3 linked regions of the Saccharomyces cerevisiae S288C genome follow. Changing the gene in region 1 together with any one later gene gives a genetic interaction. Each region holds a gene or a part of one and is shown on either strand. Other genes may lie near its edges. The genes, in order: HFL1, MCH5 and RPN13.

Evidence for each region.
Region 2: mutations in HFL1 (region 1) and MCH5 together harm fitness more than expected from each alone (negative genetic interaction), as found in Saccharomyces cerevisiae (one large-scale study listed by BioGRID).
Region 3: mutations in HFL1 (region 1) and RPN13 together harm fitness more than expected from each alone (negative genetic interaction), as found in Saccharomyces cerevisiae (one large-scale study listed by BioGRID).

The regions. Positions count from the first base shown.
Region 1 is NC_001143.9:529,078-532,794, reverse strand, and holds HFL1 (Hfl1p), read right to left. Parts: upstream 1,850-3,717; coding exon 593-1,849; downstream 1-592. Other genes in the region: MRS4 (Fe(2+) transporter), read left to right, coding at 1-245; TRK2 (Trk2p), read right to left, coding at 2,311-3,717. UniProt on the Saccharomyces cerevisiae protein: Vacuole membrane protein that recruits ATG8 to facilitate the degradation of vacuolar integral membrane proteins during early-stationary vacuole turnover (EVT) when cells enter stationary phase.
Region 2 is NC_001147.6:889,255-893,191, reverse strand, and holds MCH5 (riboflavin transporter), read left to right. Parts: upstream 1-1,759; coding exon 1,760-3,325; downstream 3,326-3,937. Other genes in the region: SLY41 (Sly41p), read left to right, coding at 1-461; RRG7 (Rrg7p), read right to left, coding at 3,442-3,937. UniProt on the Saccharomyces cerevisiae protein: Riboflavin transporter involved in riboflavin (vitamin B2) uptake. Does not act in the transport of monocarboxylic acids across the plasma membrane.
Region 3 is NC_001144.5:964,482-967,475, reverse strand, and holds RPN13 (proteasome regulatory particle lid subunit RPN13), read left to right. Parts: upstream 1-1,915; coding exon 1,916-2,386; downstream 2,387-2,994. Other genes in the region: guanine nucleotide exchange factor DCK1, read right to left, coding at 1-1,579; URA4 (dihydroorotase), read right to left, coding at 2,597-2,994. UniProt on the Saccharomyces cerevisiae protein: Component of the 19S cap proteasome complex which acts as a regulatory subunit of the 26S proteasome, involved in the ATP-dependent degradation of ubiquitinated proteins.

The sequences.
Region 1 (3,717 bases):
CTGCGTTAACTACACCGTTGGATTGCATAAAGACTGTATTACAGGTTAGAGGCAGCGAAACTGTCTCCATCGAAATAATGAAGGATGCGAACACTTTTGGTAGAGCCTCAAGAGCCATACTGGAGGTTCATGGTTGGAAGGGGTTTTGGCGAGGTTTGAAACCAAGGATAGTGGCTAATATACCAGCCACTGCCATTTCTTGGACTGCATATGAATGTGCTAAGCATTTTTTAATGAAAAATTGATGTTTTTTCCCCTTTTCGAGGTCAACTTTTTTTGACAACTTATAAAAGGCAAGGCCAAAATGCATTGGTGGTGGTGCTGTTGCTGCTGCTGCCACTTTTGTTGCTGCAAAAGACAAGTCCAATGGTAATAATAGAAAAATAATAATAATGGTGATATCGTCCAACTCCCACTCTGCATATATAGCCAATCCTCCGGCAAAAAATTACAGTAGCATTTATTTCATTTTATTAGAATAAGCATCCAAGTTACAATAATTGAAAAAAAAGCATTGCTTGTAGATGTTGTTTTATTTTGTATATAACCGAAAGCGCAGTAACTATGTATATACGTACATTTAACGACTCATTTAACAAGCCATTGATGACCTACTTTGAACATCTCTTCTTAAATCATTCATTGATCTACTATATCGATGGCCCATCGTGTAGTCGTGAACAACCGGATAATTTGGATCCTCAGGAAAAGTTCTCTGACCAGCAATATCATCTTCCCATGATTCCTCTATTGATTCCGGAACAAGGTTGTTATCTATACTCCCATATGCCACCCAATAACTATTTCTTCCATTATCAGTAAATCTTAGCCCATGCTTTAGTCTTTCCATAGTCGCACCGGATTGTTGTCTAGTGCTTAATAGATCCATGGCTTCAGGATCGAAGTTCCTATAATTATAGTACAAGGGACCAGCAAACAAAGTCTGTTTAAAATCCCATATTAGATCACCGCAACCAAGAAAATCTTTCAAAGCGTAAATGAATTTCATCCTGGCCCCATAAGGTATGCTAAATGCTGTGTATTTGTTCCAAGGGAAAGCTACTGCATGCAAGATGGCGAAAGGCACCATCTCTATACACAGGAGCCCATTCTTGTACACATATCCAGAGGTTCGATCTTGGTTTCCCGTACCCAACTTTCCAGTAACCACTAGACCCTGGATTATGATGCTCTGCCAATAAGAGGCAAAAATAATCAATTTGACACATAAAAATTTCAACCATGGTTTATAAGGAGTTAATTCCGGATAGAGACACTTCCAAAATAGTGCTAAACTATACAGTGACCAAGTCACTGAAATATTATAAAAAACGTTCAAAAATATTTCGAATTTGGGTAGCTTCCATGCACTGCATATCAATGTACCAAAACAATAAAATGGTTTGAACCAAACATACTGTAATATGCCTTTTTTGACAAAAAGAAAATCAAAAGGATCAGATAAGTCTATCGGTTTGCAAATTTTACCTATTAGCGGTATCGGATGTCTTGTGGGGGCGTGATTTAAGCTTAAAACAGTAATGATGTTCCTCTCGCCTCCTAGTAGTAGTGTTAAAAATGTGAAAAAAGTGTAAATAACGAATGCTTCATAAAATTCTCTGATAGGATCGACATAAAATTGAGCTGCTTCAGGCTTAATTATGCCACTTGCGCATGACACACTAAAAATGGGCACGAGCAATAGTATCCGTATGGATAGTCTTTGTTCATATGGTTTACGGTAATTTAATAAGTGTCTAGTTATGGTGTAAAAAGATATTATGGTAGCTATAATAGATGAATACACGCATGGCCAGTACAACCACCAACAAAGTAGTTTGTTTTCCATAACAATTATGTTTCTATACTTTTGTGATTGTACTGTCGCAATTCACTTTTCACTCAAACCTTTGCTTAGGTCGTAACTTGGCAGATGCTTCTAGTGGACCTGTTGATGGCTTTGGTTGGTTATTATTATTATTATTATTCTGATCTGAAAGTGGTTTAGATCTCGTTTTCTGCCTTTTTTCGTAGGGGACAAAATGCAATTCAATTGTGAAAAATACAATAAGTAAAAAGAGGGAAAAAAAATGAACTAAAATTTTTCTAGAATAGTCAGAAATCAAAAGTATATTACGGATAGGATTCGTTGTGCTTGTTGAATCGTAGTGGTACACCTTTTAGGGTCTTAATCTTTCTTATTTTTCTTTTATATTTCGTTAAAGAATAATAAACTTCGGAGATAATACATATAATACTGAGAGAAAATTACGTTGGCTCTTATGTAGGTAAAGAGGGGTAAACTTGATTTTAATGCTTCCCCCAAAACTTTGTTGCTATTTTTTTCAGTTTGTGGGATCTCTTTTTGACGTAAGTAGTCATTGGATCCTCACCAACTTTGGCTAACAACTTACCCTTAGCTTTCATATCTTGTAAACGATCAATTTGTTCCAGTTTGTCACTTGGCAGCATGATGGCACGATCCAAAGTGTATGGTAAACCTCTATTTCTTCCTCTTATTAGCATGGCAATTATGACTAGCTTCGATAATACGGTGAACTGGGCAGATAGTGATGTGTTGGTGTTTGGGTAACCCAATGACAAACCCACTGTACCATAAGCGCTAACAACTTCAAACAATATAGCAAAGACATTGAAATCAGGTTTATTAACGTCTTCGATTTTTCTGCCCTCGCATATGCATATTATAAATAATCCAAGGAATAGGTACCATAAATCAAAAGAGAGTTGCCTCCTCAAATGAGCACCAACAAACGATTTTGGGGACTGTTTCTTCGGCTTGGACTTTGTAGATACAGTGTCTCGCTCTTCGGATTCGCCATCATGGTCTGTTTCCTTTATATCGTCTTCGTGGGTGATATTTTCGTCATCTTGTCCACTATCGTATAGTCCCAACGATTGCTCCTCATAAACATTCGTTCTTCTAATGGAAATCGCCAGCGGCAGGACCGAAACGTACATCATTAGCATATAAGACACCTGAATGGACGGGTGTAATTTACTTAAGTCAACAACGTTGAATCCAGCAGTTCTTGTGCATACAGACTGGAAGAGGCCCATGAGAGCTCGATAACCTTTAGCAACCTGCCTTACTACAGCGGAGTTGAAATCCAGAATTATGAAAAGAATCCAATCCGTAGCGTTTAAGACGACTAAAGTTGTAAACAGCCACCATGTGGGGCCGCTGGGGAACAGCAACGTAAAACACCTGCGCGGATGATCCAAGAGAAACCCAAGACTTTCCTTAAACTGAGATAGGTCTCTCGAGGTCTTGAACATGATCCAAATGATAAATCGTAACATAATTGGGAAGCCTGTATTGCCTATGATGATGAAGAACATCATGAAAATCAGCGGATACGGCGCAGTATCAAAGGAAACCATTGAATCAGCGGTCAAAGACAGACCCAAGTTGCTGAATGCACTCATTGCAGTGAAAAACCCCCACCAGGTTGGAGAAACTCCATTTCGTCTAATAATCTCTGAGTAGTGGTGCCTCGTACAGGCCCATGGAACGATGGTCACAAACGCCAAAATGTTGAATCCGATGTAGTATACCATGAGAATGCAGCACAGCAATCTCAAAGCACGATATTCGACACCGCCGAGTTCCTCCTTTTGTTGCTTTGTGAGTCCAATGAAGACGGAGTTTCTGCCAAAGGTTGGCTGCCACGATAGATAGTTGGTGCTCATTGT
Region 2 (3,937 bases), on another chromosome or scaffold:
GAATACTGCCGTCTTCTTCTACGGATGACGTCACGTCGAAGGAAGGGCAACCGAGTCTAGACAAAACAAGATTTTCTCCATTGCAAGTGGATAAGATTACCATATTGTTCTACTGCTCCTGCATTGGGTTTTCTTTAACCCTATTACCTTTTTTAACCGGCGAATTAATGCATGGCGGTAGCGTTATCAACGATTTAACGCTAGAAACAGTAGCCCTTGTAGCGATTCATGGAATAGCCCATTTTTTCCAAGCAATGCTTGCTTTCCAGTTGATCGGTTTACTATCTTCCATTAATTATTCGGTAGCAAACATCATGAAGAGGATTGTTGTTATATCCGTGGCACTCTTTTGGGAAACAAAGTTAAATTTTTTTCAGGTGTTTGGTGTTATCTTGACAATTGCCGGATTGTACGGTTATGACAAATGGGGGCTTTCCAAAAAAGATGGACGTCAGGCATAATATGAAGTAATACTATTGAGTACAAACCATCATTCAAGGTAGGACACTTAGTACTATATCAAATATATAATCAAAAAAAAAACCCTCGAAGGTCTTTTTTATCTTATTTACTGCTACTACCTCTGTTGCTAGCATTACTTCAAGATCCTAAACTGTTACCCCACCCCCGCACCATATCAAGGTTAAAAATCCGATGTGGCGGTACTTATTTGGTTATTTATCTCATTTACATTAATATGCGTACGGGAATGGCCTTCCGCTCCGTGGAGGATAAAGTGCGGTCATTTTATTATTTTTCGAAAACAATGGCTACAATCCCTTGATTATCTCACATGCGATTACAAAGCAAAAGAGAAGATTCGCATGCAGGAGCCATACACGCGTCTTTTTTAAGGTATTTCCACGATCTCGCGGAAAAACTTATAGAACGAACAACTATTGCTTTAACTAGGAAAGAATAAGAAAAAATAGCGATCATACTAGAACCCACAGTCGAGGCACAAGGATTTTGAGGATTGCTCTACCCCTAATGCCTATTGCTTCGATTGCTGAAAGCGGATCTACTCCTTTTTCCAAGTACTCGAAAGGTTGAGAGAAATAAAAATAGACTAGTCGACGGACAATGCCAATAAAGTTTGGTTATACGAACTGCTTTAACCAAATTAATATTGGACAGACTCCGTGTTTTTTGGTTTTGCCCTTTTTTCCCGCTAGAACGACATTGTGTTTCTCCAAAATTATTCCATCTTTTCCCTCGTGTTAACAATAGAGTCACAACGCACCTGTTATTATGATCTCGGGGGTGGCTTCCCGAACATCGTCGGTTGAATACTGCGCTTTGGCGTCCGAAAAAGAAAAGATAGGAAAGGATCGAATTTTTGACATTTTTCTCAACCTGCTGCGCGCTGTTCTATAGACGTTTGAGGCACCTGAAAAAGAAATACAGCGGAATAATTACTGTTCTGCTGAATCGCCCTAGGCGGTATTGTATGAGGCTAATAATAGAGAGACATCTCTGAAAAGAAACTAGAGGAAAATTTTTCAAAAATATCTATTTTGCTCAGAGAAATGAATATAATAAAGAAGCTATTTGGTTAGATCTCCCAGTAGTTACGGGGACTAGATATATAAACTGCTTGATGTACGTTTGGAAATTCTCAAATAGCAATTCTCTCTTCAAAGTTAGTGAAGGATAGGTTATATCTGTAAAAACATACTAAGATCTGAATAACTAAGATCACGGGGGCATACTATCGATTAAAAAGCTCTGATTTTACTATAGATTAAAAAGAAAAATAATGAGCTCAGACAGTTTAACGCCTAAAGACACTATAGTTCCAGAAGAACAAACCAACCAACTGCGGCAACCTGATTTAGATGAGGATAGCATACATTATGATCCAGAAGCTGATGATTTAGAGTCATTAGAGACTACTGCCTCTTACGCGTCAACGTCGGTGTCGGCAAAGGTGTATACCAAGAAGGAAGTAAATAAAGGAACTGACATTGAAAGCCAACCACATTGGGGTGAAAATACCTCGAGCACGCACGACAGTGACAAAGAAGAAGATTCCAATGAAGAAATTGAAAGCTTCCCGGAGGGTGGATTCAAGGCTTGGGTTGTGACATTTGGTTGCTTCTTGGGTCTAATTGCATGCTTTGGTTTATTAAACTCAACGGGGGTCATAGAAAGTCATCTACAGGACAATCAATTATCCAGTGAAAGTGTTTCTACCATTGGTTGGCTGTTTTCTTTGTTTCTTTTTGTTTGCTCTGCCTCATGTATCATTAGTGGTACTTACTTTGATAGAAATGGATTTAGGACAATTATGATTGTGGGCACGGTTTTTCATGTAGCCGGTCTGTTCGCTACCGCCAACTCTACTAAATATTGGCACTTCATACTGTCCTTTGCCATTGTCTGCGGGTTCGGTAATGGTATTGTACTGAGTCCCCTAGTAAGTGTTCCCGCCCACTATTTTTTTAAGAGACGTGGTACTGCATTGGCAATGGCCACTATTGGTGGTAGTGTGGGTGGCGTCGTTTTCCCAATTATGTTGCGTAGTTTCTTCTCTATGAAGTCAGACACTGATCCAACTTATGGATTTGTTTGGGGCATTAGAACTTTAGGATTTTTAGATTTGGCTTTGCTAACTCTGTCAATCATTTTAGTCAAAGAGAGGTTACCACATGTTATCGAAAATTCCAAAGATGGTGAGTCACGTTGGAGATACATACTCAGAGTTTATATTCTGCAATGTTTTGATGCGAAGGCTTTCCTGGATATGAAATATCTTTTTTGTGTCCTGGGAACGGTATTTAGTGAGTTATCCATTAATTCAGCTCTTACTTATTATGGATCATACGCCACCAGCCATGGAATTTCTGCTAATGACGCCTACACCTTGATTATGATTATAAATGTCTGCGGCATACCCGGGAGATGGGTTCCTGGCTATTTGAGCGATAAGTTCGGTAGGTTTAACGTCGCAATTGCAACTCTACTCACTCTATTTATCGTCATGTTTGTTGGTTGGTTACCATTTGGTACCAATTTGACAAATATGTACGTTATTAGTGCCCTATATGGATTTTGTTCTGGAAGCGTTTTCTCCTTACTTCCTGTTTGCTGTGGCCAGATATCTAAAACGGAAGAGTTCGGTAAACGTTACTCTACAATGTACTTCGTTGTCGGTTTCGGTACTTTAGTCGGCATTCCGATAACAGGTGCCATTATCTCTATCAAGACAACGGCCGATTACCAACACTATATTATTTTTTGCGGTTTGGCAACTTTTGTAAGCGCTGTTTGCTACATAATTTCGAGAGCATACTGTGTTGGCTTCAAGTGGGTCAGATTTTAAAAAGTAAGACAGTGCCCTTTATAGATCTTCAAAAAAGTAATGCAATAATATTTTCTTTTAGGAAATGTGTAGATAGACTATTTAATTAAAATTTCCTTATGTTTTTTTTTTTTTTTTTATTTTTCCGAATTAAAGTCACTATTTTTGTACAACTTCAACTTCAGCCATTCAGAAATCTTGCAATCTTGCATTAACGTAGAGGCGTATGAATTCTCGTAATAATTAATTAGTTTTCCTGAATTGATTAAGTCAAAGTGCCCGTCAGTCTTCTCTTTCAGCATCTCAACACGTAAATATATCAGAGGAAGCGTGATGTTATTGATAAGATTTAAGGTATCTTTTGTTAACATATGAGGGGAACACATAATGCATACTGTTTTGTTGCGTTGACTATGTGATACTAGTGAGGTGAATGTTCCTACTAACTCACGGAATTCTCTAGGAGATAATTTTGATTTAGTGAAAGCCTTACATTGGACTAGTACTTTCAATGGTTCAAAAGTATGGTCGATTATCCTATACTTTAAAGGTTTCAATACGAAGCCATTTTGCGAGTTCGTTCTTTTTATGTTACTAGCCATTTCCAAATTGGGCATTAACGATGAAATTTTC
Region 3 (2,994 bases), on another chromosome or scaffold:
AAGAAACAGCCCTAGGGTTCACAGAAACGCCTTCAGAAGAATCTTTTATTATCTTATTTATTAACCCGCCCCAACCTAAATCCGCATCCTTTGAAGAGTTGAAGTTTTGCGAATCCGAGGAATCGGAGCTATAAAGATAAAGGTTAAACCTCTGAGCTTTATTCGCAACTGATAGGCCGTTATAAAACTTGAATACCGGAGATATGTTAATAACTCCGGCAGCTAAGCCCTTTTTTACGTGGTCAATCTTATTCTCAGTCGATGAATTAAATGGAGAAAATGGGGAATGTGAACTTGACTCTTCGGTAGATATATTGTAAGATGAAATTTCCGGAGCAGTTTCTGTTGTAATTGCTATTGTTTCCTTCAGCACTACTACTAAGTATACTTTATTTTTATGGACTATCGTTTCCAAAATATTCTTGAATAACATTGCAGGAATTTCATCTAGAGCTGATTCCATATTGGACGACTTCGTCATGGTAAAAGACTCTGTTAAAACTTCGTCTTTGGTTCTCAAGTATACACAAATAGAAAGATCTTGATATTTAGGATCTGATATAGAGGGATCCCATGCCAGATCTTTCAAGTTAACCAAAATGCTCGATCTAACTGTGCCGAATAGTCCGTTAGATGAGGACTCATCATCGGACTCTACCACAGGTACAGTAGGAAAATTATTAGTTAAACCACAAAGCATTGACGATGACACTAAAGTTCTTAATTTGTCGATCTCGTATGAGAGCAATTCGCCAGTATCAATATCCCTGGCAAAAATTCCTTCGAAACCATAAGGATCTGGGTTTCTTGGAGTAGAGTTAGCAATTAGTTTATTCTTCCTGTATGTGGAGGACAAAAATTTTGCGATTTTAGTTCTTAGGGATGTTGCTGCTCTTATCAGATTTATTTTCTCAGCCTCTGTGGTTAAATTCATAGACAATCTAAATCGTATAGTGTCCAAATCATAATAAAGTTTTATCATTTTCCTATATATAGAAAACTCGCCAATTGAATACATAGAGTAAACATGCGAGGAAATAAGAGATAATATAGGACCCATTTCGTCCTTAAAGGACCTCTTTTGGTATCTGAAAAAGGGGAACGGAGGTCTCGGTGTCTTTCTTGGTTTACCAGTTGATATATCATCAGTAGAGCTAACATATAGGCTGTCACAAAAGGAGCGGGACTCACATTCTTTACTTATCAATGGTTTAAAATCCTCAGCACTAGGTGCTTTGAAAAATGGCATTGTGCTGACGGCTTTTTCTGCTTCAAAATGAACATATTTTCTAGGAAATATCACTACTTTCGGTTTCACGTCTGGCAGTACATCATTCGCCGAGTTCATATTCGATATGAATTCTTCAGGAAAGGGTCGTAAACATTGGTACGCTCTACACCATTTCTTATCCACAGATTCTTCGAAGACGTAAACTTCTGCACCCACATAAACGTTCGCATAATTGCTGTTTTCATATACCAGCTCAGGATACCTTTGTAAGGGAAGGAAAGATTTGACTAGCACACCATATATTAGCCGATCCGTGGGCAGCCAGCGCTGTGAATCCTGTTGCGACATTGTAATAGTAATCTCCCTAAAGAAAAAAAGACCCCTGTTTTATATGACTAATCTTCGGTCCTCTATAATTTCAATTGAAGCAATAATTGACTGAGTGGTGTACAAACGGTTGCTTGAACCATTTATATTATTTTCAACTCATCAAGTCATCCCCTCCTTGATATGCGTTATTGATATATTTCAGTTAAAATTCCTCCGTATTTCGTGATATATTATTCGCGAGGTGGCGAAAGCTTTGCTACTAAATACTCTACTATGACCAGTAGATTAGGTTCTATAAGGGTGCCAGAAAACTACCTAAGTGCTGGTTGACTTATAAATTTTAAAAGAGTGTTGATGAGTATGAGTTCAACTGTAATTAAATTCAGGGCTGGTGTTTGTGAATACAACGAAGATTCACGTCTATGTACGCCAATTCCAGTTCAGGGTGAAATCGAGATCAAACCAAATGAAGAGGAAGAATTGGGATTTTGGGATTTCGAGTGGCGTCCAACGGAAAAGCCGGTCGGGAGGGAACTTGATCCTATTTCTTTGATTTTAATTCCTGGAGAGACCATGTGGGTTCCAATAAAATCCAGTAAAAGTGGCAGAATATTTGCTTTAGTTTTTTCATCCAACGAAAGGTACTTCTTTTGGCTGCAAGAGAAGAACTCAGGTAATTTGCCCTTAAATGAATTGAGTGCGAAAGATAAAGAAATTTACAATAAGATGATTGGAGTGCTGAATAATAGTAGTGAAAGTGATGAGGAAGAAAGCAATGACGAAAAGCAAAAAGCTCAAGATGTGGATGTTAGTATGCAAGATTAAATCAAGGTTGTGGCATTTTTTGATAAAAAACTGAAGAGAAAAAATATACCATATCAACGCATTTGGCTGTGAACTTCTGTAAAGAGATACGGACCATAACAATAGGCATGATGATGGCATCTATAACTTCTATTGGAAGGTAAGTTTATTTTTCCCATAAATATGTATATATGGTCTATACTCTCAAATGAGCCTACATATTGTTGCATATTAACGAGGTTCCCATCTCACCGACCAACTTAGTTTATCACCTGCTTTAAATGGGATGATGCTTATGTCTTTGCCATCGCTGATAACCTGAGGGATAACTTGTTCTTTTTTGAATAATATTGCCTTATCTGAAGAAGCCACTTCGCTATCTTTAACCTCATAAAAGGAAATTCCGAAGTCGGAAACAAAGCCCTTTAAGTTCTCCAAGGCATTTTGCTCTTCAAAAACTTGGGCGATATAAGGGATCGCAAAAGATTGTGAGTAAACTCCTGCGCAAACACCCTCGTAATTGGCCTTATTTTGTACAGGATGAGGTGCTGAATCAGATCCAAAGAAAAAATATGGTTTCCCTGATACAGCAGCTTTGACTAGAGCCTTTTTGTCATTTGGAAGTTTCG